Pelodiscus sinensis: one gene and its partners. The protein of the gene in region 3 interacts with the protein of the main gene of each other region in a biochemical or structural test. Links are inferred from orthologs where the notes say so. Each region holds a gene or a part of one and is shown on either strand. Other genes may lie near its edges. The genes, in order: HSPG2, SHC2 and KDR.

Region 1 (7,732 bases), on a different chromosome or scaffold from region 3:
GGCTGCAGGGCGGACCAGGCCTCAGAGTCTTTCTGCTGCCCCCACAGCCATTTCCATCTCCACAGGACTCCACTGGCGCAGCTCAGGAACAGCTTTCCCGGCTCCGCAGCCCCTGGTCGGATGCCCCCTGCACTGTGAGCCTGGGCTTCCCAGTCCCCTGCAGTGGTAGGACCAGCCCTACATCTCTAACCTCAGCTCAGGAGAGATTCCCAAGGGAGGAGGCAGCGCAGGGGGGTAGACGTGCCCTGGGCACAGGGCTGGCACCTCCAGGCAGCTCCCCTGCCGTGCTCTAGGTTAGAGACTGGAAGAGCCCCCTGGCCCCGGCTTTAGCTTCTCGAAGAAGGCGGCACATATCCCAGGGCACGGCCGACCAAGCGCGTTGCCTGGTCCCAGCCGAGGGCACCGGGTGAGCAAGCCGGGCTCAGGGAGAGATTCCTGCTCTGTATAAATACTACAGCAGAGTCACTCAATCCCTGTTCTATTTCCAGCCTTGTTTACAATCCTGCCTCCCCTCCCCTCACTTCCTCTGCCTCCTCCCCCAGCCCCAGGCCCCTCCCCACCTGCTGTGGACACTCTGCTTGGAGAACAAGCCTGGGCAGGTGTGGGGGGATGGGAGGGGGGAATCTGCCACTCACAGGACCCCCCTCCCATTCACTCTCTGCTGTTGGTGACTATGACCCTCCAAGCCCCTTCCTGGGTCCCCTTCCAGCCCAGCACACACGGCCCCCAAGCCATGGGGATCCCTCCACCCACCCCGGCACATTCACAATCGCTGGCCCCAGGAGCCCCTGGCCAGCCCAGCTCCTGCTTCCTGCACCCCAGAAAGTGCAGCCCAGCCCAGCCCACAGCCAGGACTCCTGGGTTCTATTCACAGCGTCACTGACTGGCAAGTCCCCGTCTCCCCCTGCGCCATGGGATGGGGAGACCAGGGGACCAGCCCCTCCTGGATCCGCTTGGGTAGCCAGGCCCTTCTCACTACCCAGCATGCACTGCTCCGCTGTGGTCCAAGTGGCCTCTGCGCCCTGCCAATGCCCTGCCTGGGGCCACACAGAGCCAGGCCACTCCGGGCACCATGTCCAGTGCCCGGCCAGGGCTCCAGCCTTCACCCCTCCCCTAAGCTGCCCTGGATGGGAGGCCCCCACGCCCTCAGAGGGTCAAGCTGGAGGGACGGGCTCCTGGCAAGGCTGAAGAGTCTCCCAGGCTGCCTGCATGTTCTCAGGGCCTGCGGCCGCGCCGACACAGAGCTACCCATTGTTCCCCACGCAGCGCTGTGCGCAGGCCGCGTGGGCGGAGAGCAGGCAGGACAGACTGTGGAACAGCCCCAGAGCCCCCCGCTCCCCGGCACTGGAGAGCTTCAATTGGCGCCAGGATAGGGATAGCCGAGGCCTCTGGGTGGGGGCGGAGGGTCACCAGGACTGAGGGGTCCAGGGCTGGGATAGCAGAGGTGGCAAGTCAGGACTGAACAGCATCAGTAATGCCAGATGGGTGCAGTGTCTAGCCAGCCCCATACCTGGCAATGCTGTACTGGTAGCAGTGCCCAATGGGTGCAGTATCTAGCCAGCCCCGTACCTGGCAATGCTGTACTGGTAGCAGTGCCCAATGGGTGCAGTATCTAGCCAGCCCCGTACCTGGCAATGCTGTACTGGTAGCAGTGCCCAATGGGTGCAGTGTCTAGCCAGCCCCATACCTGGCAATGCTGTACTGGTAGCAGTGCCCAATGGGTTCAGTGTCTAGCCAGCCCCATACCTGGCAATGCTGTACTGGTAGCAGTGCCCAATGGGTGCAGTATCTAGCCAGCCCCGTACCTGGCAATGCTGTACTGGTAGCAGTGCCCAATGGGTGCAGTATCTAGTCAGCCACGTACCTGGCAATGCTATACTGGTAGCAGTGCCCAATGGGTGCAGTATCTAGCCAGCCCCGTACCTGGCAATGCTGTACTGGTAGCAGTGCCCAATGGGTGCAGTGTCTAGCCAGCCCCGTACCTGGCAATGCTGTACTGGTAGCAGTGCCCAATGGGTGCAGTGTCTAACCAGCCCCGTACCTGGCAATGCTGTACTGGTAGCAGTGCCCAATGGGTGGAGTGTCTACTGAGTCCCACACCCAGCAATGCCGCACTGGTAGCGGTGGGAAGAAGGTGCAGTGAGAGCCCCACACCCGGCAGTACCCAGCCCTGAACCTGGCAGTACCGGCAGTACCGAAGGGGTGCACTGTAGATTCTGCCACATAGCTAGCAATGACAGAGGTGCCCAGTGGGTGCAGTGTCTACTGAGCCCCACACCCAGCAGTGGCAGCAGCAGGGGGCACCACCAGGAGCTAGCTCTTGCCAAGGGGCCAAAAACCCTCCCGGCTCTTTCCCCCACGCTGGCTTCCCTGCTCCTCAGACTTGCCTGGTGGCAGCAGGACGCGTGCAGGGCCAGCCAGCGCCTTGCAGCGCTCACCCAGCGCAGGCCGGCTGGTCGGAAGGGGGGAGGGAGCGGGGCGCAGCCGGGATCGCGCCTGACCCGGGCTGAGCCGCGGCGCTCAGGGCTCGCCCGGGGCAGGCTGGCACCTTGGGTGCCCCTCCCCCGGCCCAAGCCACGTGCGCACGGGAGGTGCCCCGAGTGTCCCAGCCCCCCGGGCCGGGCTGCTCTGGCCCTCGCCGGGGAGCCGCGCCCCGGGACCCGGGGGTGGGGGGAGCTTTATTTTAAGGCGGCTGGTCTTTGCCGCGTCCGCTCCACGGAGCCGGGGCTGCTGCTGCGCGGGGCCGGGGCAGCCACGTTCCGCGCCCCGCGCCAGCCCCGCGGGCCCCGGCCGCCCACTGCCCCCGCCCGGACTTACCGGCAGCAGCGCCGCCAGCAGCAGCAGCGCGCAGGGCGCCCCCAGCCCCATGCTCCGGCTCCGGGCGCGGCTCCCCAGCGCGTCCTGCCCGCGACCCGCCGCCCTTTGTCTGCTCGGGCGCCCGCTCCGGCCACTGGCAACTTCGCTGCGCTGCCCCGTCCCAGCAGCGCCCCGAGCTCGGCTCCCTCCCGGCTGCCGCCCAAACCCGGCCTGGAGTCCCGACTCCGGAAGGGAGCTGGGCGCCGCGGCGGGGGGAGGGGGCACGTCCTGAGCAGGGAGGGGCCCCCTGGACACCAGACCGGGCCCGCTCCGTGGCCATCGCTTGCCTTGCGCCTCAACCCCCAGCTCCAGGAGTCCTGGGATCGGGGGAATCTCGCTGGGGCTGTTCAGCCAGTTCCTAGCCCGGCGGTCACAGCTGGGCGCAAGGGCTCCAGGCAGGGGGCACAGGGCAAACTCTGCCACTAGTCAGTGACTGAGCCGGCTGCAGCCCCCCCCCCCCCCCCCGCCGCCCCTGGGCGCCCAGCGCTGCACAGATGCAGAACACAAGGCCTTGGGGGCCGGCCTCAGGTGTGCAGGCCCCGCGGTGTCCTGCTGTGTGTGACCCACCCCCACGGCCTACAACCGAAGGACTCGCAACAACCGGACGTGCTGCCTGCCCTCTCCGGGGCTTGACCGCTCTGCCCGGCCTGCCCTTTGTGTCCTGCCCAGCAGACGCGGACGCAGCCAGGGGCCCCGGTCCAGACAGTCTGCTCAGCTGACGTGTGGGGCACGTTCTTGCCGAGTCCCTTTAAAGCAGCGTGGGCGGGTTTCCTCGCTGACCCGGTGGGGACAGGGCCCCGACCCCTATCCCCCCCCTAGAATTGGCCCCTGATGGCAGGATCGGCGCAGGACTGACTGCAGGATGCAGTTCCTGATCCTGCTTCGCTGAGCGTGGTGGAGGTGCATGGAGCCGGGGCGAGGGCCAGGCTAGGGCGGGGTGCAGCAGGCAAAGCAAGCAGCATGCACAGCTGGCCACGGCGCGCACTCTTCGTTTCCCGGGGGCACCCTTTCTCACTGCGACTGGCTGGTTTCCCATGGCTTCCTCCCCGGGCCTGCAACTCACACCCTGCCGGGGCTCTGTGCAGCGCAGCTGCTGGGTTAGCGAGCCGCAGAGCAGGGATGAGATACGCCACGCGGGTGCCAGGCTGGGGGGTGGGCAGACACCCCCAGCAGGGTTCTCCTCTGCACTGGGACCGGGATCTGATTGCCAGGGGATGCTGGGAGACTTGCCCTAAAGGAGCCACAGCGGGAGACTGAGCGGGAGGCTTCCAGCACTGCGAGTCTGGGCTGCTCCAGCTTACGCTAAAGGAGCTCACCCCATCAGCTGGCCCCTGTAGTAGGCTCTTCTCTTACGGGCACCTTGTGGCTACGTCTACACTGGCATAATTTTCCGGAAATGCTTTTAATAGACAAGTTTTCCGTTAAAAGCATTTTTGGAAAAGCGCGTCTAGATTGGCAGGACGCTTTTCCGGAAAAGCACTTTTTGCAGAAAAGCGTCCGTGGCCAATCTAGACGCGCTTTTCCACAAAAAAGCTCCACTCGCCATTTTCGCGATCGGGGCTTTTTTGTGGAAAACAGTCCTGTGCTGTCTACACTGGCCCTTTCAGAAAAAGACTTTTGCCCGAACGGGAGCAGCATAGTTTTTTCGGAAAAGCGCTGATGATTTTACATGAGATCGTCAGTGCTTTTCCGGAAATTCAAGCGGCCAGTGTAGACAGCTGGCAAGTTTTCCGGAAAAGCGGCTGATTTTCCGGAAAAACTTGCCAGTCTAGACACAGCCTGTGCGTTACCGTCAGGGAGTGGGCAGCTCCCCCTACGGGCCCCCGGCCCCACCTTGGATCAGGACGGTCACCTCCTGGCGGCTCTGGGGAGGGGGATGAGGTGCCCGCAAGCCCACAGCCCAGAGCAAACCTCGCCAGGCCAGGCATTAGAACTGAGGAGGGCTGCAGGCCTGGGCGTGGCAGGCAGCACCGGGCACTGGGCGGACGGGACCAGCTGGAGCCCCGCCGGTTTGCTACAAAACGCAGAGGTGGCTTTGCAGCCTCCTGCCCCCCGCGCTGCCTGGGGGTGGGGCACTGGAGCCCATCGGGTTGGCATGTGACGCTGTCTCTGGCCTGCCTGTCTCTCCCCAGTGCAACCCGCAGAGCAGGGGAGCCCAGCCAGGACCCCCCTCATGTTTCTGGGGTTACTGCTGCCTCTGGGACGCAGCAGGGAGGGGCATGAGCCTGCAGGGCCCAGGCAGCCACACAGCTCCTGGCTCCTACCCTGGGGATGGGCCAGGAGTGGGGGAGGGGATGGAGGATATCGTCTCGTGGGGGGGATTATAATTACTTTATCCATCTCCGAAAAGGCCAGTGACTCGGCTGCTGTCTCGCAGCCCCCATCCCGCCCAGCAGCGCCTGCCCAGCATGCCCAGCTCACCCCCCCCCCCCGGGCTGGGAGGGGCCTCCGTGCACCACCCTGGGACCTGCAGGGCTCCAGGTGCCATCAATGATTAACTGGGGACTTTCTGCATGAGGGACTGCGGGGGGCAGAGGAGGGGGGCCTGGAGGGAAACTGCAGGAGCAGCCGTAGAAGCCAGACCCCTCCTCCTCCCCCCCCCCCCCCCGCTCCTCCGAGCCAGAGCTAAGGGCGCTTGGCAGTGGCAGGGCTGTGCCTGCGCCCAGGGGTGCAGTCAGGGCCCAGGGAGGCCCCGTGCCCTGTGGAGCACTCTGCCGAGCCGGGGGGCTGTCCTGGTCCCAGCAGGCCTGGCCGGACGCGACCTTCTCTGGGTTCCTGTGACTCACTCGTCCTGCGCTTCCCCCAATTGTTCCACAAGTTCCTTTGCTCCAGGCAGGGGAAGCCCAGCCTGATTAGCAGCAAGGCCAGGCCTGCGCAGCCGCCCTCCCCAGGGCCCGATGGGGCGACACTGCCCCATCGTGGGGGAGACAAATCCGGCCCAGGAGCGCTGGCTGCTGCCAGTCCCCCACAGGCGTGAGACCCCTGCCTCACAGCCCCTCTCCTCTGCCCCCCAGCACCAGCTCTGGCCCCGGACCCCAAGGCCTGTCCTGCCCGGCCCAGAGAGCAGCCCTGCAATGTGCCTCAGCCTGCGTGTCTCTGGGGAAACACATTGCCCAGGTCCGGCCCTGGCCTGTGTCAGCAGGGGAGCCTTGGGCCTTGCAGGCAGGGTGCCAGGCTCACCAGAGGCTCCCCCCCCCAGCTGGTCTGAGCAGTGGGGTGAAGCTGGGATGGTTCGGCAGCTCGGAGGCTGAGCTCTCTGGGCTTCGATCCCCTTGGCCCAGCGCTCGACGTGCCGCAGAACCGGACCTTGCGCGTGACTTCGGCGCCACTTTCCAGAGGGGCCAGAGCGGCTGCCGCCGCGAGGGGCAGGGCACTGGAACCGGGGCGGCTGGTAGGCGGGGGTGCAGCACACTGCTCCGGGTTCTTCTGTGACCGGAGCGCGTTTCCCCAGCCTGCGCGAGGAGTCGTTCCAGTGCTCCAGCTGGGCTGCGATTGGCCCGGGGTTTCCATGGAGCGTCCCATGTGCTGTAGGGCAGCCAGCACCCCTGGGCACCCAGAGGTGCCCCCTCTTGCCAAGGCAGCTCCCCACTTTGCAGATGATGCCAAGCTGGGAGGGGTTGCAAGTGCTTTGGAGGAGAGGGTCAAAATTCAAAATGATCTGGACAAACTGGAGAAATGGTCGGAAGTAAACAGGATGAAGTTTAATAAGGACAAATGCAAAGTGCTCCAGTGAGGAAGGAACAATCCGTCCCACACACAGAATGGGAAGTGACTGCCTAGGAAGGAGAACGGCAGAAAGGGTTTTAGGGTCCTAGTGGACCACAAGTTAAACATGAGTCAACAGGGTGACACTATTGCAAAAAAAGCAAACATGATTCTGGGAGGCATTAACAGGAGTGTTGTGAGTAAGACACGAGAAGTCATTCTTCCGCTCGACTCTGTGCTGATTAGCCCTCAATTGGAGTATTGTGGCCAGTTCTGGGCAGCACATTTCATGGAAGATATGGAGAAATTGGAGAGGGTCCAGAAAAGAGCAACAAAAATGATGAAAGGTCTAGAAGACATGAGCTATGAGGGAAGGCTGAAGGAATTGGGCTTGTTTAGTTTGGAAAGGAGCAGACTGAGCGGGGACATGAGAGCAGTTTTCAAGTATCTAAAAGGGTGTTACAAGGAGGAGGGAGAAAAATTGTTCTCCTTGGCCTCTGAGGACAGGACAAGAAGCAATGGGCTTAAACTGCAGCAAGGGAGGTTTAGGTTGGGCATTAGGAAAAACTTCCTGCCTGTCTGGCTGGTTAAACACTGGAATAAATTGCCCGGGGAGGTTGTGGAATCCCCATCTCTGGAGATATTTAAGAGCAGGTTGGACAGACACCTGCCAGGGATGGTCATGCAGCCAACGGCCCATTTGTTTGCAGCCCGCGGTGCGGTTTGGGTTTACGCAGGGCTCAACGTGCAGTCCATGGGTGGGAGCCAAAACAAAAAAGTTGTGGATATAATGGCCTTCTGTTGAGATGCGTTTTAGTCATTAAATTCCTGGACTGTCATTGCTCATTAAAAGTTCCGTTGGAGATCGGGTAAATCTTGCATTGTATTAATACCAGCAGAAGTGACTTAAACGGGGCCTGCGTGTTGTGTAGTCTTGCCTTAATCTTTGTATTCATGCCTGTCAGCATAAAAGAAGCTATTTGCATATATTTGCATATATATTTGCATGTCTATACAACCACGATTAAGTTGCAGCCCTCGCTACATGCCGTGAGTATCACTGTGGCCCCTGAGGCTTCCAAAATTGAGTAGCCCTGATCTGGATGGTGCTTGGTCCTGCCGTGAGGACTGGGCCTGTCGAGGTCCCTTCCAGTTCTAGGCTTCTATGGCT
Region 2 (7,247 bases), on a different chromosome or scaffold from region 3:
CACGACAGAATCTTCCGTTGGAGAGTCTGCGGTGCCTGGGGAGTCCAGGCCGGCCCTGGAGGCTGGTGACCCTGCGGCCCGGCCGAGCCGACGGCCCTGCCACGGTTCTGTGCGGGAGCAGCTTATTCCCACGGGCCCTGGGAGCCAGGCCCCGCTTGGCCAGTCCCCGTGAATCACACTCCCTGGGCCCAGAGGTGAGAGCAGCTGGCTGAGGGCGCCCAGGCCTGACCCTCTCCCCCTCCCCCCGTGCCCTTTAGGGAGACCGGGGGGGTTGGCCTCCCCCCATTCCGACTGCTGCTGTTTGTGGCTTGCTGCTCCCCGCCCATCACTGTCGGGGGGGGGGCGAGGAAAGTGCCCGGCGCCCCCGCCTGGTGCGGGGAGGGGGCAGAGCAGCCAGGGACCCCCGCCGTGGGCATTGCTCTGCTCCCGGACAGTGGCGGAAGGGGGCAGCAAGTAGCAAGCCATCAGTAGGAACTGGGGGAGGGCTTCAGCCCCCTGGCCTCCCTTGAGGGTCCCCTGGTTCCCTTGCACTCCTCCCCAGCCCCCTGCCCTGAGCCCCCCATGCTCCCCGCCCCGATTCCTGCCCCCCTCCACTCACCTCCCAACCCTCGGCCCTGGGCCCCTCCTGACTCCTGCACCCTCCACATTCCCCCTCTGTCCTGACCCACATCCACCCCCCAAACCCCTGTCCTGAGCCCCCCACATGCCACTCCACACTTGAGTTTCTTACAGGTGCTGTGATATCACACACCCCAAGCCCTGCTCTGAGCCCCCCGCGGGGGAGCAATACAACAGTACCTGTAAGTTACTGTCACCCCCAGCTAAGCCTCTCTGCACCTCTGCCTCTGCTCGAAGCAGGCAACAAGCTAAGGGTTACTCCATGCAGGCTGGAACATGGCAAGGACTGAATGGCAGCAGGACAACACTGCAAAACAGTTTACGAGAGGAAGTCAGCTAGAAGAAGCAGCTTCAAATGCAGCAGTGCCTACTCCATGTCCCTGGGCTTTCCGTGGAGGTCTTCCAGCCAAGTCCTGATCTCGCTTAGCTAACAGACACGGAGGAAAACAGAGTCAGCTGCACACTAGCAAATGCCTGAACGGATCTGGAATCACTTCTAGCAGAGCATATGACCCCTTCCCCCACACCCCGACTCAACCCTTTGAAGCACATTTGGAGCTTTAAAGAACATCAGAGCCCTTCTCCCTTCCAGGCTTTGGAGGTTGGTTAAGAAAAGAAAACAACTAGAACCAAGGAGAGAGAAGCATTTCTTAATATGGCAACAGCAAATGTAATTCTATTACCTTGATTTATTGATCGCACTCAGAGCAATTACTGGCTTTCGTCCCATCACCTGCCTGGAAGAGAGAGAAAGAGGCAGAGAGGAGAAGCAGAAAACAGAGACGCTGGCACATGCAATGTGGAGTTTGAAAACAAGGCTTTGATTCTTAATTCATGTGTCATTAGCGATATCATCTATCTGCTCCCCCCACGCCTCTTTCTTGGCGGGGGAGGGGAGTTAGCGAGCCTAGCAGGTTCTGTCGGTTGCCTGTCTCCCTTTCATCATCGTCTGCAGAGGAAGCTCCTAGGTGGATTGGGAAAATAATTAGATTTCAATTTGTTTAAGGGGTGGCACCATATGGCCAAATTGGAACCAAAACACGGGCTCGGTGACACCCACCGCTTCACAGAGCCCCAGGCCACGGGGACGTGTGCGTGACGCCAGCTGGAAACAGCTTTGTGAAAGAGGTAAACATCCCTCTGCCAGGCAAACAGGGCATCAGAGCACCATTGCTGGAGAGTGACAGCGAATAGGAATGAAAGTGACTCGTCTGTTTTCACGCCCTCCCCCACACCCTGTGCAAAGACTGGACAGGCTTGTGAGGAAGAGGCTTGGGAAATCTAGGTTCAGTTCCCAGTTCTGCCACAGAAGACCTGCATGACCTTGGGCAAGTCACTTAATTTCTCTGTTTCTTGGTTGCCCGTTCATACCATGGGGATATCACTTCCTCACATCTCATGGCTGGTGTGAAGCTAAATTCATCAGTGTATTTAAGATGCATGAACACTGCGGTGACGGGAAGCAGGGGAAATTGCCTTTGTAGTGCGCTAGCCAGCGGAGAGCTGTATTCCATCCGAAATGGAGAGAGAGTGTTGGATTTGCAAATGAATTCCAGTTCCGCTGTCTCCCTTTGTAACCGGGCTTCGAAGTGCTCTTGTGGCACTTTCCAATCCATGGCTGAAGGTCCAGGGAGGCCGACGTGTTCCCCCACTGGTTTGTGTCTGCGCTGGTCAAAAAGGCGACCACGACATTAGGGACCATCAGCAGAGGGGTAGAAAACAAAACTGAAAAGATCACAGTGCCGCTCTGTGAATCCATCCTGTGCCCAGCCCTGGCGTACTGGTTTATGTGCGTTACCGTCCCTGATGTCTGAGCTGTGTCCCTGTGCCGGGGCGTCTGCTCTGGCCCTTTAAGGGCTAAAACCCAGCCCTGGGAGAAGGCTGAGGGGGTGGAGCCCACAGCTGGGGCAGGTACAGCCAATGAGGGCCCAGCTGGTGCTGTATAAATAAGGGCTCCTGGAGGCAGGAGACAGACTCCTGGTTGCTCCACTTGGGTCTTGGATGCTGGGGAAATGAGAGGCCTGGCCTGGCTCGGCTCTTGGGCTGCAGGGCCTGAGGGGATTAGGGCTGCTAGGTGGCAGCAGGTCCACCCGCCCTTACCTATGATGAGTGGCTGTTTCAGGCTGCAGTTCCCCTGAGGCAGGGGTGTGATGATGCCTGGCAGTGGGTCACTGAGGCAAGGTGGGTGTGGGGGAATTGGGGGTCCTGAGGGAGGGGAGGACCCAGAGAGCAGGGGCACTGACCTAGGCCAGTACTAGGAGGGAAGGGCCAAGGGGCTGAACGGCAGCAGACCTGTGCCAGAGACTGGGATCCTGACCAGCAGAGGGCGCTCTGATGCAGGGAGCTGGTTCCCTGCCTGGCCAGAGGGAGGCGCTGGTGAGCGCGTGGCCCTTTGTCCTCTAGTGCAGAGCCCGTCGGATTTGGCCCAGAACCATGCTAGTGACTCGACTAGTTGCCGTCTCTTCTATCAGAGGCAGCAAGGGGGGAGCAGGAGCCGGTGCTGGGGGGAGCTTGCTGAAAAAGTGGCTCCCCCCAGCACTGTCTCTGTGGGGGGTAGCAGGGGAAAGGGGGCGAGTGGGGCTGAGCAGTCCTGGCTCAGGCTGGGTCCCCGATGCTGCGGCTCTGCTTTGTAACCAGCGTAAGAGCCTGGCGGTTTAGTGCAGCGGAGAAGCAGCGCTGTGGCGAATCCCCTTATCGACTGGTCGATGGACATGCCAGCGATTGGCTTGCTAAGCGCTACTGACATCCCCGTGCTGGCGCGTGTCACGTCCGTGGCTGGGCGGGCGAGGGAGCCCCTGTGGCTGTGGCTAGACCCTGCGACGGTGTCGCTCGGGTGGGTGTGTGGGCAGCCGGCGACGGGAGGCTGCCGTGGGGAACTGCCATCTCCCAGGAGACACGTGGGGCCGAATTCTCTAGCGGTGCCCCCTGACGGTGCTGGGTGGCACCCGTGGGCCCCAGCAAGAGGCTCGTTCCCCACAGAGGTCGGGGTCCATCCCAGACACTTAACAGAAAAAGCCCAGGCAAGGCCCAAGCCGTTCGTGGCAGCTCCTCCAGGTGGGTGAGCCGCTGAGCAGGCGAAGGGGCCCACAGTGAGCCGGTTGCACGGGATGTAACTGGGGGCAGAATCTGACCCACAGCTGTCCTGACATTATCTCGTCAATTGCTGCAAAATGCCGTCAGTGGCTGATTCATTCTCTAGTCCCTTCCCTACTGGCTGGAGAACTAGTGCCTGTCCGGTCCCTGGCTGGTTGGGGGGGGCCCCTCTCCCAGGTCCCTGGCTGGTTGGGGGGGGGGCCCTCTCCCAGGTCCCTGGCTGGTTGGGGGGGGGCCCTCTCCCAGGTCCCTGGCTGGTTGGGGGGGGGGGCCCTCTCCCAGGTCCCTGGCTGGTTGGGGGGAGCCCCTCTCCCAGGTCCCTGGCTGGTTGGGGGGGGGGCCCTCTCCCAGGTCCCTGGCTGGTTGGGGGGGGGCCCTCTCCCAGGTCCCCACGGCTTGGTAACATTCTCTCGAGCTCATCCACAAACGGCTGGGCTCCTGCACGAAGCGCCAGGTGACCGTCTCTGGCGAGCGACCTGCAGGAGGTCGGACTAGCTGATTGGAACAGTCCGTCGGGTTTCATGAAGCGGCTCTATAATCCCTGGGGGTGGGCTCCCCGTTCCTTCCCCCTCCTGCGGGCTCCGGGGGGTCCCGTTGCTTGGCAGAGACAAGGGGGTGCAGGGGAAGGCCATCAGGCTAGCTTGCTAGTGCCGGTGGCTGGCGAGCCCCAGCCCTGGCAGGGTCCCTGGGTGGGAGGGGAAGCTGGAAGACGAAGCCCGTTACCCCAGGACCTGCCGAGCGGGCAGAGCCACCCCCAGAGGCTGCGTGCGACAGGGACTCCTCCCTCGGCCTGTTGGCCGACTGCTCTGCCTCTGTCCAGTGCTGACAGATGCCGTGTGCGGCGGGGGGAGCCGAGCCGGCCAGGCCTGCGGCAGCACTGCTGCTGAGCAATAGCATCATGACATCATTGTGTGAGCGGAGCCTCCCCCGGGAGGCGGGGGGTGGGGGCCGGAGGGGCAGGCCAGCGAGCGGGCGCGGCGCAGAGCACGCCCGGCCGGCACTCTAAAAGCACTTAGCCAGGCAGGCAGCGGCAGGGCATGCTCCCGGAGCCCAAGTATGGCCGCTTTCGCAATGGCTCAGTGACCCCCTCGGAGGACCCAGCCATGAGCAGCCAGGTGGCGGCCGCCGCCCCGGCCCCCTCGGCGCCTGCCGCCCTGGCACAGCCTTGCCCGCCGCTGGGCGACGCCCGCTTGCCGGAGGAGCAGGAGCCCGGGACCACCTTCTGCATGCTCATCCCCAGGATCCCCCAGTGGAAGTTCTCCAGCCCCTCCGGCTTCCTGAGCCGCAGCCCCTCCAGCGCCAGCAAGGACCTGTCGGCCCCGGCCAAGCCGGGGGGCCCCGGAGAGGCTGGGGGGCCCTCCTCCGGCCTGGCCGCTGTCCTGAGCGCCTGCGAGCCGGTCTGCCACTCTCCCTGCTCCCTGCAGGTGATGAGCCGGTTCCGAGGCGGGGGCGGCAGGAAGGCGGCTCGGGTCGAGGGGGTCAAGCTGGCCGGCGAGGAATGGAACCGGAAAGGCAGCTTCATCAACAAGCCGGCGCAAGGCTGGCTCCATCCGGACGAGCGGGTCCTGGGACCGGGGGTCTCCTACATCGTCAGGGTAAGCCTGTTTCTCCAGCCTCCCCGCCCCTCGGGCCCACCTGGCTCTGGCTCCCGCGCTGAGCCAGCGGGCGCTGAACGGGGGCTGCGCTGCCCGGGCGCCTCTCGCTAGGAGCTGGCAGCTGGGAAGGGGCCAGGTGCCCCCGGCCATGGGGGGAGGGAGGTTTGGGGGCTTCCCCTGCTTGATCCCCAGAGTCGCGAGGGTCTCGCTCCTTCAAGTTCTCTTTGTTCAAGGCCCCACAGCCCAGCTGTCACCCGGCCTGGGGAGGGGTTGGTGTTGCATCGCCAAAGGCGGCCGCCGCTCCGCCCCGTCAGCTGGGACTTATCTACGGGCTGAGCCCTTTGGGGGAAACCTGGCCCCGGCCGGCCAATTGGCCCTGGTTTAAAACCCGCAGCACTGAGCCCTCGTCCTTCGCTGGGCAGGGGTCTCCAGGCACAACTTGATGAACTGAGTCCTAGAATTGGGGGGTGGGGTATTAACGCCTCCCCGGAGCCAGGAATGGAGAAACTGAGGCACAAAGCAGGGAGGGTTGCACAGTGGAACTGGGGTGAAGCCAGGAGCAGAGCCCAGCTCCCCGACTCCCAGGCCAGCATCAGCCACGGTCCCCCGGGCTCCTGTTCTCCTTCAGGCTGGCTTGACACCACAGCGTTGACTTCGGCCGAGCTGCTGGTCAGGGCAGAGTCTGCCTTCAAGTGTCTCCAAAGTTGTGTGGGCGGCTTGGCTGAGGGACGAGGGCCCAGGGGACTTGGGGAGCTGGGTTCGTTTCCCTGCTCCGCTACAGACTCCAGGGGTGAGTCGCTTAGTTTAGCTTTGCCTCAGTTTCCCTGGCTGTACGTGGTGGGGAGGGGAGGGGGTAATAGCCCCGCCTTCCAGGGGATTGTGAGAACTCCCTCGGAGGTGGGGAGGGGTTCAGCTACCATGGTGATGGGCTGGTTTGAGCTTTGGTTTCCAAAGGGCTCTGCCTTGTATCATTTCTGCCCCCCCACCCGCCCCAGGAAGCACTGTGGGGCGGTGACACCAGTGAGACCCCCCACGCCCTGGGACTGCAGGTCTTAACACTGAGGCCTGCGTGTGGCTTGAGGGGCCGGGGGTGCGTGTCCCACTGGGCCTGCGGCTGGGTCCTGACACGACGACTCTGATTTCAGGGCCCGGGGTGCTGGGAGCCAGGGGGAGCCTGCCCGGCCCGTGGGCGAAAGAGGCCCGGCGGGGCTGGCCGAGGCGGGAGCCATCTCCCCCTCGCGCGCCCGGGTGTGACCGCTGACCCCGCCGCGGGCAGAATCGGGCTGGAGGGGTTGTTTAGAAAGGAGCCAGATCTCCCCCACCACCTGAAAAGCACGCGGCCCCCCAGCAGGGTCTGAGGCATCTGGCCTGTCCATGCTCCGGCAGCCTTGTTTGCCCGGCTCCCAGCGTATATTCCCCAAGGGCCTCCCACCGCTGCTGGGCGCCTCACGCCCGGCTCCCGCTGCCGGGGGGCTGAGAGCGGCAAACGACGGGGCTTCCCTCCCCAGCCTGCTGGGCCCCCAGAACGGTGCACGCCCGGGCCCAGGCTCTAAGGTGTTCAGGCAGGTCGGGCTCTGGAGCCACCCGACCCTGGTGTGAGCTCCGTGGCCAGCCCGAGTCTCCGCCTGAGCCCTACTGCTGCTATTTCAGTGCCCGTGCGGAACTCGCGTGCGCCTGCCCAGCCAGCGCAAAGCCCGCGGGAGAGGCGAGAGCGCCCGGCGACGCGCGCAGGGTCGGGGCCAGCACATGCGAACGCGTCGAGACGGCAGAAGGCCGGGGCTGGGAAGGTCGGTCTCCAGCTGGGAGGGTCTGTTGCCACGGCACAAGGGATCTTTCTGGACAGGCCTGGGGCGGAGGACTGGGGCCCGCCCAGATTCACAGCCACGCACCGCGGAGCGTGCCGTTTGGCCCTGCGTGTGCTGCCGCTTCCAGGGGGAGACC
Region 3 (7,544 bases):
CACTCCAAAATTTTGGTAAGTGGTTAATTGTGCTGCACTGTCCCCACCTCCAGCAAAATCTCTCAGCTCCCATTGGCCAGTCAGGGGCTCCTAAATCCACTAAACAAAGTGACCTGATCTGCAGAAGTGTTGAACATTCAAACATCCCAGTAAAGTCAATGGGAATTTTTGATGCTCAGCACCTCTGAAAATCAGACCATTTTTAAATAGGTAAAATGGGGATTTAGTGCCTAAATGTATGTAGGTGAAATCAGTGGGGGTTAGATGTCTAAATATCATGGAGGATCTGAGCCCTGGTGCTTAGCCATACTTATGTTCATGTGCAGTCTGCATTTGTGCTGCCGTGCTGATAGCCTTGCATTCTGTGCTGCTGGTGCTACTGGGTTGAAGTGGCCCATTGGGAAGATATACACAGAGGCCATTTATAGAGCTCCTGGGCTAAAGCAGCCAAGGCTATGAACCTCAGCACCAGTCCATATCTTCCCCAGGATGTTGTTTGAAATAATTAAGAAAACAAAAGGCTGCTTGTCTGCCCTGCTGCTGCTGGCTGTCCGGGCCAGGCTCCTAAAGCCAGGGTCCTGGCTGGCTGCAAAGTGCTGAGGAGTCGTGACTATGTCAGAGGGGAGAGGGAAGGGGGAATGACTCAGGGGAGCTGCCAGCCTCTGGCCTGATCCCTTTCCAAAAGTCTTTGCTGTTTCTTTGTGTCTTGTATTTAATGAGGTTTTGGCCATCACAGCAGCAGATGCATAAACAAAAGCATGTTGGCCCCTGTTTAGCTAAGGGGAGATGTTTGTCCTCCCCCATTTACACATATCTTGCCCATTGATTGTTTTCAAAATACAGGGTTTTCCTAGTTTAGAGCCTGAGGGAGAGAGAAATGGTTTTTATTAAACTACTGCAGGGAAACAGGTTGACTCTCCAGGGAATAACAACAACAACAAAAAACAAAACAAGGTGATTTGTTGGGAGCCTTCCGTAAGTCCCCTCCAAGTCTGACAAATTATCTCATCTGTGCCACTCTATAAAGAGCCTTCTAGTTCCTGTTTTCGGAGGAAGGCAGAATCAGGCAATCTGAGTCTACTGGATCCTTTAGTCATGAGCTCTCACATGAAGGGCTAAGATGTTCTGTTATGGTCAAGATACATTCAGGCTATGTCTACACTACCAGTTTTCTCTGCAAAAAATATGCTAATGAGGGATTCATTTGCATGAGTCACAATCTCATTTGCATATTTTCTGACGATCTGTTTTTGTGCTAGGGTTTTTGCACAAAAACAAGCAGTGAGGACATTTTATTTTTGCGCAAAAACCCCTTTTTCCACAAGATCGGTAAACCTCCTTTTTTGGGGCATAAGGATCTTGTGGAAAAAGGAGTTTTTGCTCAAAGAGAAAATGTTCAAACTGCTTGTTTTTGCGCAAAAACCACAGTGCAAAAACAGATCAGCAGAAAATATGCAATTGAGATTGCGACTCATGCAAATGAGGCCCTCATTAGCATGCTTTTTGCCGAGAAAACTCGTAGTGTAGACGTAGCCTCAGTGCAGCAACGGGGAAGGCACTCAGGAAGCCAACTATAAGCCTCTGCTTCTCTGGCAGTCCATCTACTTTAGTGTCCTGTTTTTTGACAGTGGCCAGTGCCAGATGTTTCAGGGAGAATGAACAGAACAGGCTGATTTATTGAGTGATCCATCCCCTGTCTTCCCATCCCAACTTCTGGCAGTGAGAGGGCTACGGACACCCAGACCATGGCGTTGAGTCCCCGACCATGTTAGCTAATGACCATGCCCTCCATGACCTTATCTAATTCTTTAGCACAGTTTTACTTTTGCCCTTCACAAGATCCTTTGGCAATGAGTTCCACAGGCTGACAGCATTGGGTGAAAAAATACTTCCTTTTTAAAAAAAAATCTTCCGCCTATTAATTTCATTAGGTAATCACCAAGTACCGTAAAATCTCGAATATAATGCACAATTTTCCCCCGTTTTTTTTAGCATCAAAGTCGGGGTGCGCATTATTTATAGGAGGTTTTTAAAAAAGTTTTAAACTCACCCTCAGCAGGCATGAGCTGGGCGGGGCTGGGCTGAGCTGGGGTGGGGTGGGGCCCCGCAGGCGCGAGCTCAGCGTGCTGTCAGCTGGGCGGGGGACACCCCCCCCCAGCAGGCGCAAGCTTGGCATGCGGACAGCTGGGTTGGAGAGGCTCCCCCAGCAGGTGTGAGCTCAGCCTGCATGAGTTCAGCTGGGCAGGGGGACCCCGCAGCAGGCGCGAGCCCCTTCCTTCCTATGCATACCTTAAAATCTCGAGTATAATGAGGGTGCGGATTATAGATAAGAGTTTAGTTTATTCAAGAATTTTGACCTTTAAAAGGCGGATGCTCATTATACATAGGTGCACATTATACTCCAGATTTTACAGTATCTTGTTATGTGAAGAGGTAAATAACACTTCCTTAATTTGTTCTTTACCAGAACATCCAAAAAGCTGTGGCAAAAGTCACCTTCCTCCCCTGCTATTCAGCCCACATCACTGACTTATTTGTTTCCAGGGATGATCACAGTGTGCTAGACACTAGGGATGTAAAGGGTTAAGTGGGTAACTGGTTAACTGGTGGCCTGGCTGGTCTATGCTGAATTGCTGTGGGCCCAGCCCCGCTTGAGCAGTCCCCCAGGCTCCACCATCCATGGCACAGTTGGTTCAGTCATCCCAGCTTGGGCGGAGCAACCCAGGGTGGAGTAGGAGTTACTGTGTGCAGGGGGCTGGTCCAGCCTGGCTGGGCTGGAGAGACCCCCTTGTCTGTGGGATCCTGGTTAACCCGCTCAATATAACGTTTAACCATTTAACTTTTAAAAAGGGATTTTACATCCCTACTGGACACTGTACAAACAGAAAGGAAGGCACAGTTGCTGTCCCCACTACAAAGATTTTACAATTTAAAAAGGGAGACAAAGGCTCTTTAAAGAAACACATAAGCAATGTGCCCAATGTGGTGATTGGCCTTCCCTTGAGTAGCTTGCTTTTTTGTTTGTTTGTTTGTTTGTTTCACAAACATACACCCTGTCTCCAGTTGCCTCTCAATCTTGTCTTGCAAGAAGGGAGCTGGTTAAAAGGTGGAGACAGGAACCATATGCAGTAGTACTATATGTAGACAGGCTGTGACTGCCAGACATTAAAAGTCTATGTAGGACTTGTGGGGGAACAGGAGTGCCTGGGCAGAGAACAAGTGCAGAGGGAGCCCAGTGATACACTTGTCTACACATACTGCTGCATAGATTGATGTCCTGGGATTCGATTTAACGTGTCTAGAAAAGACCTGCTAATTTGATCGCTGATCACGCTCCTGTCGACTCTGATAATCCACTGGACCAAGAAGAGAAAGGGAAGTTGATGAGAGAGTTTTTCCTGTTGAGCCCTCAAAGTAGGGATGCTGTGGTAAGTTGTAGCTGTAGCTATTCATGTAGCTAGACTTGCGTATCTTAGTTTGACATTGCTCGCTAGTCTGGACTTGGCCTATATGAGCCTGCCTGGAAACCCACAAGATCCTATTTGATATGAATAACAGAGACTGGACCAGAGAGGGCACCTTAGGCATTAGGTCTGAAGAGCCCCCACTCTTTACTGCACCACCTCCAAGGACCCAAATGCTTACAATAATTGCTCACTTAGAATTGCAACTTTTTAATCCAAGGCTCTGTACAGAGGGTATTTGCAAGTTTTCCTTTTCCTTCCAGCCCAAGTAAAATATCCTTTCCCTTAGCTGTGATGTCTGAGTAGTTTGGGAACCCCCCAGGGCTAGTGCTTACAAGATCTTGCTGCTGAAGCACATATAGTTTATGTTCAGGAATTGTACTTGAAGCCAGCAGTCTTTAACTGGCTATATGATCCAAATTGATTGTCTCTGGGCTGTTATTCTCTAATAAAGCCTGCTGACTGGGATGGATTAAGCAAAATGCATCAGTGTTTGCAGTGAATCTCATAGACTTTAGGATCAAAAGGGACCATCATGATCTAGTTGCCTGCACATTGCAAGTTGCAAAATTCTCTCCCATTCCTGTAATTAGTGGTGCCGTGGCAATGCTGAAGGTGGAAATCATGGATTTGGGTTGTCATTATTGTTTCAAGCCAGGTAGTGTGGCAGTACCTGCAGCACCCCCATTCCAACACCTATGTCTGTAATTAAACCCCAGGCTCTGAAGTCCTCAAATCATGATGTTAAGACTCTGCAGGATCAGCCAAGTGCTTAAAGAAGCAGATGCACCAGCCCCCTCCATGGTTAAGCCCCACTGAAGGCAGGGGAGGTGAGAGGCCGAGGGTTGGTCACTCGATAAAAGCCCATCTGTCTGAGCGCTGCAAGCTGGGGGCGAAGGGCGCTGCTGGGCCACTACACTGCAGCGGGCTGAGCGGCCACGTGCGCCCAGGCCCCAGGGGAGGCGGGGCGAGGGGAAGGCCGGGGGCGGGCAGGTGGGAGGCACCGCAGGAGTCTGTCTCCTCCCCCGGAATAAAGAAGAGGCGCTGCGGGCGCCGGCTGCGATGCCCTGGCACAGCCCCAGCTCGCGCGGAGCGGCCCTGCCCGCACCCAGGGCGCAGAGACTCGCCCCAGCGGCACCAGGATTAGCGCCCGCCCGCCCGCTCTGCGCACAAGGCGCCGCTGGCAGCAGCCGGAGCCCGCTCCCGGGGGGCGATGGAGGACGCGGTGGCGGTGGCGCTGGCGCTGCTGCTGTGGCTGGGGAGCCCGCCGGCTGCAGGTGAGGGGCGCGCGGGGAGCCCGGGGGGTTCCGGCCCATGGAGCGCAGATGCGGGGAGACCAGGCTGGGCAGGCGCGCCGGGAAGTGCCAGAGCCTCGGGGCAGATGCTCTGATGGGAGCAGCCGGGCGAGGGCTAACCCCGGAGATGCAGCAGGGCCCGATCCTGCTGCCGTGGGAAGCGACGGGAGGTTTGTCCCAGCCCCCAAAGCGAACCGCATGGAGCCAGAACATAGGGACTGGGGCAGGCGGAATAAACCCCCCGGGGAAATCCTGCCCCTGTTGAAGTCAATGGGGGGTTTGGTCTTGGCTTCAGTAGAGGGAGGATTTCACCCTATGCCCCTGGCTTGTGTTGCCTGGTGACCTGGGGACGGTCTTCTTGGGTGAGTTGAGAAAGGGAAGCCAAGGGAGTCACCCCCATTTATAGCTCCAGCTGAGATTTTGCCTACGGAGCTTGTTAAAGGTCTTAGCCTTGGCCATGGCCTCCTCCTTCCCCTGAGGTCTCCAGAGGAAGAGGCTGTTCCTTATTCCTGCTCAGGTGCTGCAAAGGACAGGACATCCTGTGCCTTGCACGAGAGAATAGGCAGGTGCACAGGCCATGGCTTTACCAGGAGAATTTGGAGTGACCATGCAGGCTGATCAGCATGTGTAGAGATGGAGCCATAATTTCATCCCTGCATCTTTTGTAGAAAACTCACCAAGCGCCAGGCAGTTTTGCCAAACTTTCCCATGGCCAAGGCAGATCTTAACGAAAAGGGGGGAATGGGGAAACAAGATGGGGGAAAAGGAGTTTCCTTCTGTCTGTGAGGAGCTAACAATATGCTGTGCAAGACACAAAATACAACTAACTCCTGCCTCTACAGCCTAAACAAGAATGAGTGGAGTGCCTGGAAATAATCACCTGTTCACTATACCGTTGTCTTGGGAATAAGTGGTACAAAATTCTTGAAATTCAACATGATACATTTATGCTATTCTCTTTCTCATTAAAGGAGGCTATTTAGACTGAGACTAAGCCCAGTGATAACAATCATACTGAAATTAATATTTTAGCAGAAATTAAATAAATTGGGATGACTTGGAAGTTAACTAAAATAATGCCTGTGTCTAACACAAAAATAACCTTTTTTGGCTATTCTAATATGGATATTCATATAATTAAAATTATGCTTGTGTTTGGAACTCAAACATTTTGACTATTATAATATGGATATTAATTTAATACCAAACATTTGCATGTTTACACAACAAGTAATACTATTTTATTGATCCTCATATTTGTATATCATGTTTTTTTTGAAGTGCATATGTAAGTTACCAATGTATTTTCTTTTGGAATACTCTCCTTAGAGATATGCATAAGAGTAATTTTAGTTCATGGCATGATGTTTCACCTTGAAGAAAACAATCTAGCCATACAATGGTCAGTTTGACTAAGGCTGAACATTCTTGACTAAATGGAGCTTATTTTACTTTAGTTTTTACGTCTAACAAAGCAACACTGAATGAGAATAAAATCTCAGTTTTAGTATCGAACACTTCTAGGGACTCTTATTTAGCTGTACACTAGTTTTGTTGAAGGCACGCAAATGGGAGGAGGATTTAGTCCAGAAAGATTTAAACCTGTTTGCTGGACGATTAGATTAGATAAATCATTATTTGCAAATCCTATGATAAAGAGTAAGTTATAAATTTGATTTGATTTTCCTTCTTAATTCAAATTTTTACCTTAGTGATGGCTTTCTACAGTAAAGTGCAACAGAAATCAATTATCTGAACCCTATTGTCAAAGAATCTCTGTAGGAAAGGTTTGATAAAAATATGATGAAATTGTGGCGAGATAGTGAAGCCCCTAGCTCTAGGATGACTTTACTGTCAGTGAGGCAGAGCTCCACAGCTGCTTGGCACTACAGCCAGGGCAGAGCTTTGTAGCCACCTGGCTCCACAGCTGGGGCTGGAGCTCTGTGGCTGGGGTGGAGGGATGGGGACAGAGCTCCGCGGCCCAGGCCAGAGCTCCCTGGCTGCTGGGGCTGGAGTTCTGTGGCTGCTGGAGCCAGAATGCAGCAGGAGCTCCATAGCTGGAACCAAGAGCTCTCTGGCTGCCGCTGGGGTCAGAGCTCCCTGGCCAGGGCCAGGCCTGGCTGCTGCTGGGGCCAGGGAGCTCAGCTGGGGCCAGAACTCCCTGCCATGCTGTCTCTCCTCCCCCACCGCACATACACACTCTGGACTCCCGGTTGAGTCGCCGGTGCCCCTTACAGTGTTCCTGCCAGACTGCCCTCTTCCTGGGCTCTATGGTCCAGGAATATCTGTGGTCTAGGATGGACCACGGACGATGCTGAACCAGGGAGTCCTGGTTAAAGGAGGTCCAGTCTGTACCATCGCTGTTCATTTTATTGTGCACGTTCACTCATTTGCTCCTTGTACATCTGAATTTGCATTAAGTACGCCGTGTTGTCTGGCCAAGGCAATGTTTCAGAACTTACTCAGATATGTGTACTCATCCTTTACTGACACAGAATTCCCAAAGGGAGTGAGTATGATAATAAATGGCAAAAACATCTCATTGTGTTCTTTGAAAGGTTGCATGGGCAGGACAGTTACATCAGAACAAATATTGGAAATTATCTGCAAGCTTTAACTGACATGAGTATTCTCCCCGAATGCCGTGGAACCAATCACCTAAATAAGGTTTGATAGAAACAGGTTTTCTTAGGGTTTCAAGCAACAAAGGAGATACATTAGAAAATGCGATAAAGGAAAACAAGACTGGGTCAAATGACCTTGAGTTTATGATGCACTATGCAAA

The links.
Region 1: the proteins of KDR (region 3) and HSPG2 form a complex in vitro, tested with the Homo sapiens proteins (2 studies listed by IntAct). The link is inferred for Pelodiscus sinensis from reciprocal best matches to the Homo sapiens genes KDR and HSPG2.
Region 2: the proteins of KDR (region 3) and SHC2 form a complex in vitro, tested with the Homo sapiens proteins (2 studies listed by BioGRID). The link is inferred for Pelodiscus sinensis from reciprocal best matches to the Homo sapiens genes KDR and SHC2.

Annotation. Positions count from the first base shown.
Region 1 is NC_134733.1:4,171,557-4,179,288, forward strand, and holds the start of HSPG2 (basement membrane-specific heparan sulfate proteoglycan core protein), read right to left. Parts: upstream 3,028-7,732; 5' UTR 2,869-3,027; coding exon 2,818-2,868; intron 1-2,817. UniProt on the Homo sapiens protein: Integral component of basement membranes. Component of the glomerular basement membrane (GBM), responsible for the fixed negative electrostatic membrane charge, and which provides a barrier which is both size- and charge-selective.
Region 2 is NC_134729.1:15,712,201-15,719,447, reverse strand, and holds the start of SHC2 (SHC-transforming protein 2), read left to right. Parts: upstream 1-4,171; 5' UTR 4,172-4,748; coding exon 4,749-5,306; intron 5,307-7,247. UniProt on the Homo sapiens protein: Signaling adapter that couples activated growth factor receptors to signaling pathway in neurons. Involved in the signal transduction pathways of neurotrophin-activated Trk receptors in cortical neurons.
Region 3 is NC_134715.1:85,100,876-85,108,419, forward strand, and holds the start of KDR (vascular endothelial growth factor receptor 2), read left to right. Parts: upstream 1-4,512; 5' UTR 4,513-4,677; coding exon 4,678-4,741; intron 4,742-7,544. UniProt on the Homo sapiens protein: Tyrosine-protein kinase that acts as a cell-surface receptor for VEGFA, VEGFC and VEGFD. Plays an essential role in the regulation of angiogenesis, vascular development, vascular permeability, and embryonic hematopoiesis.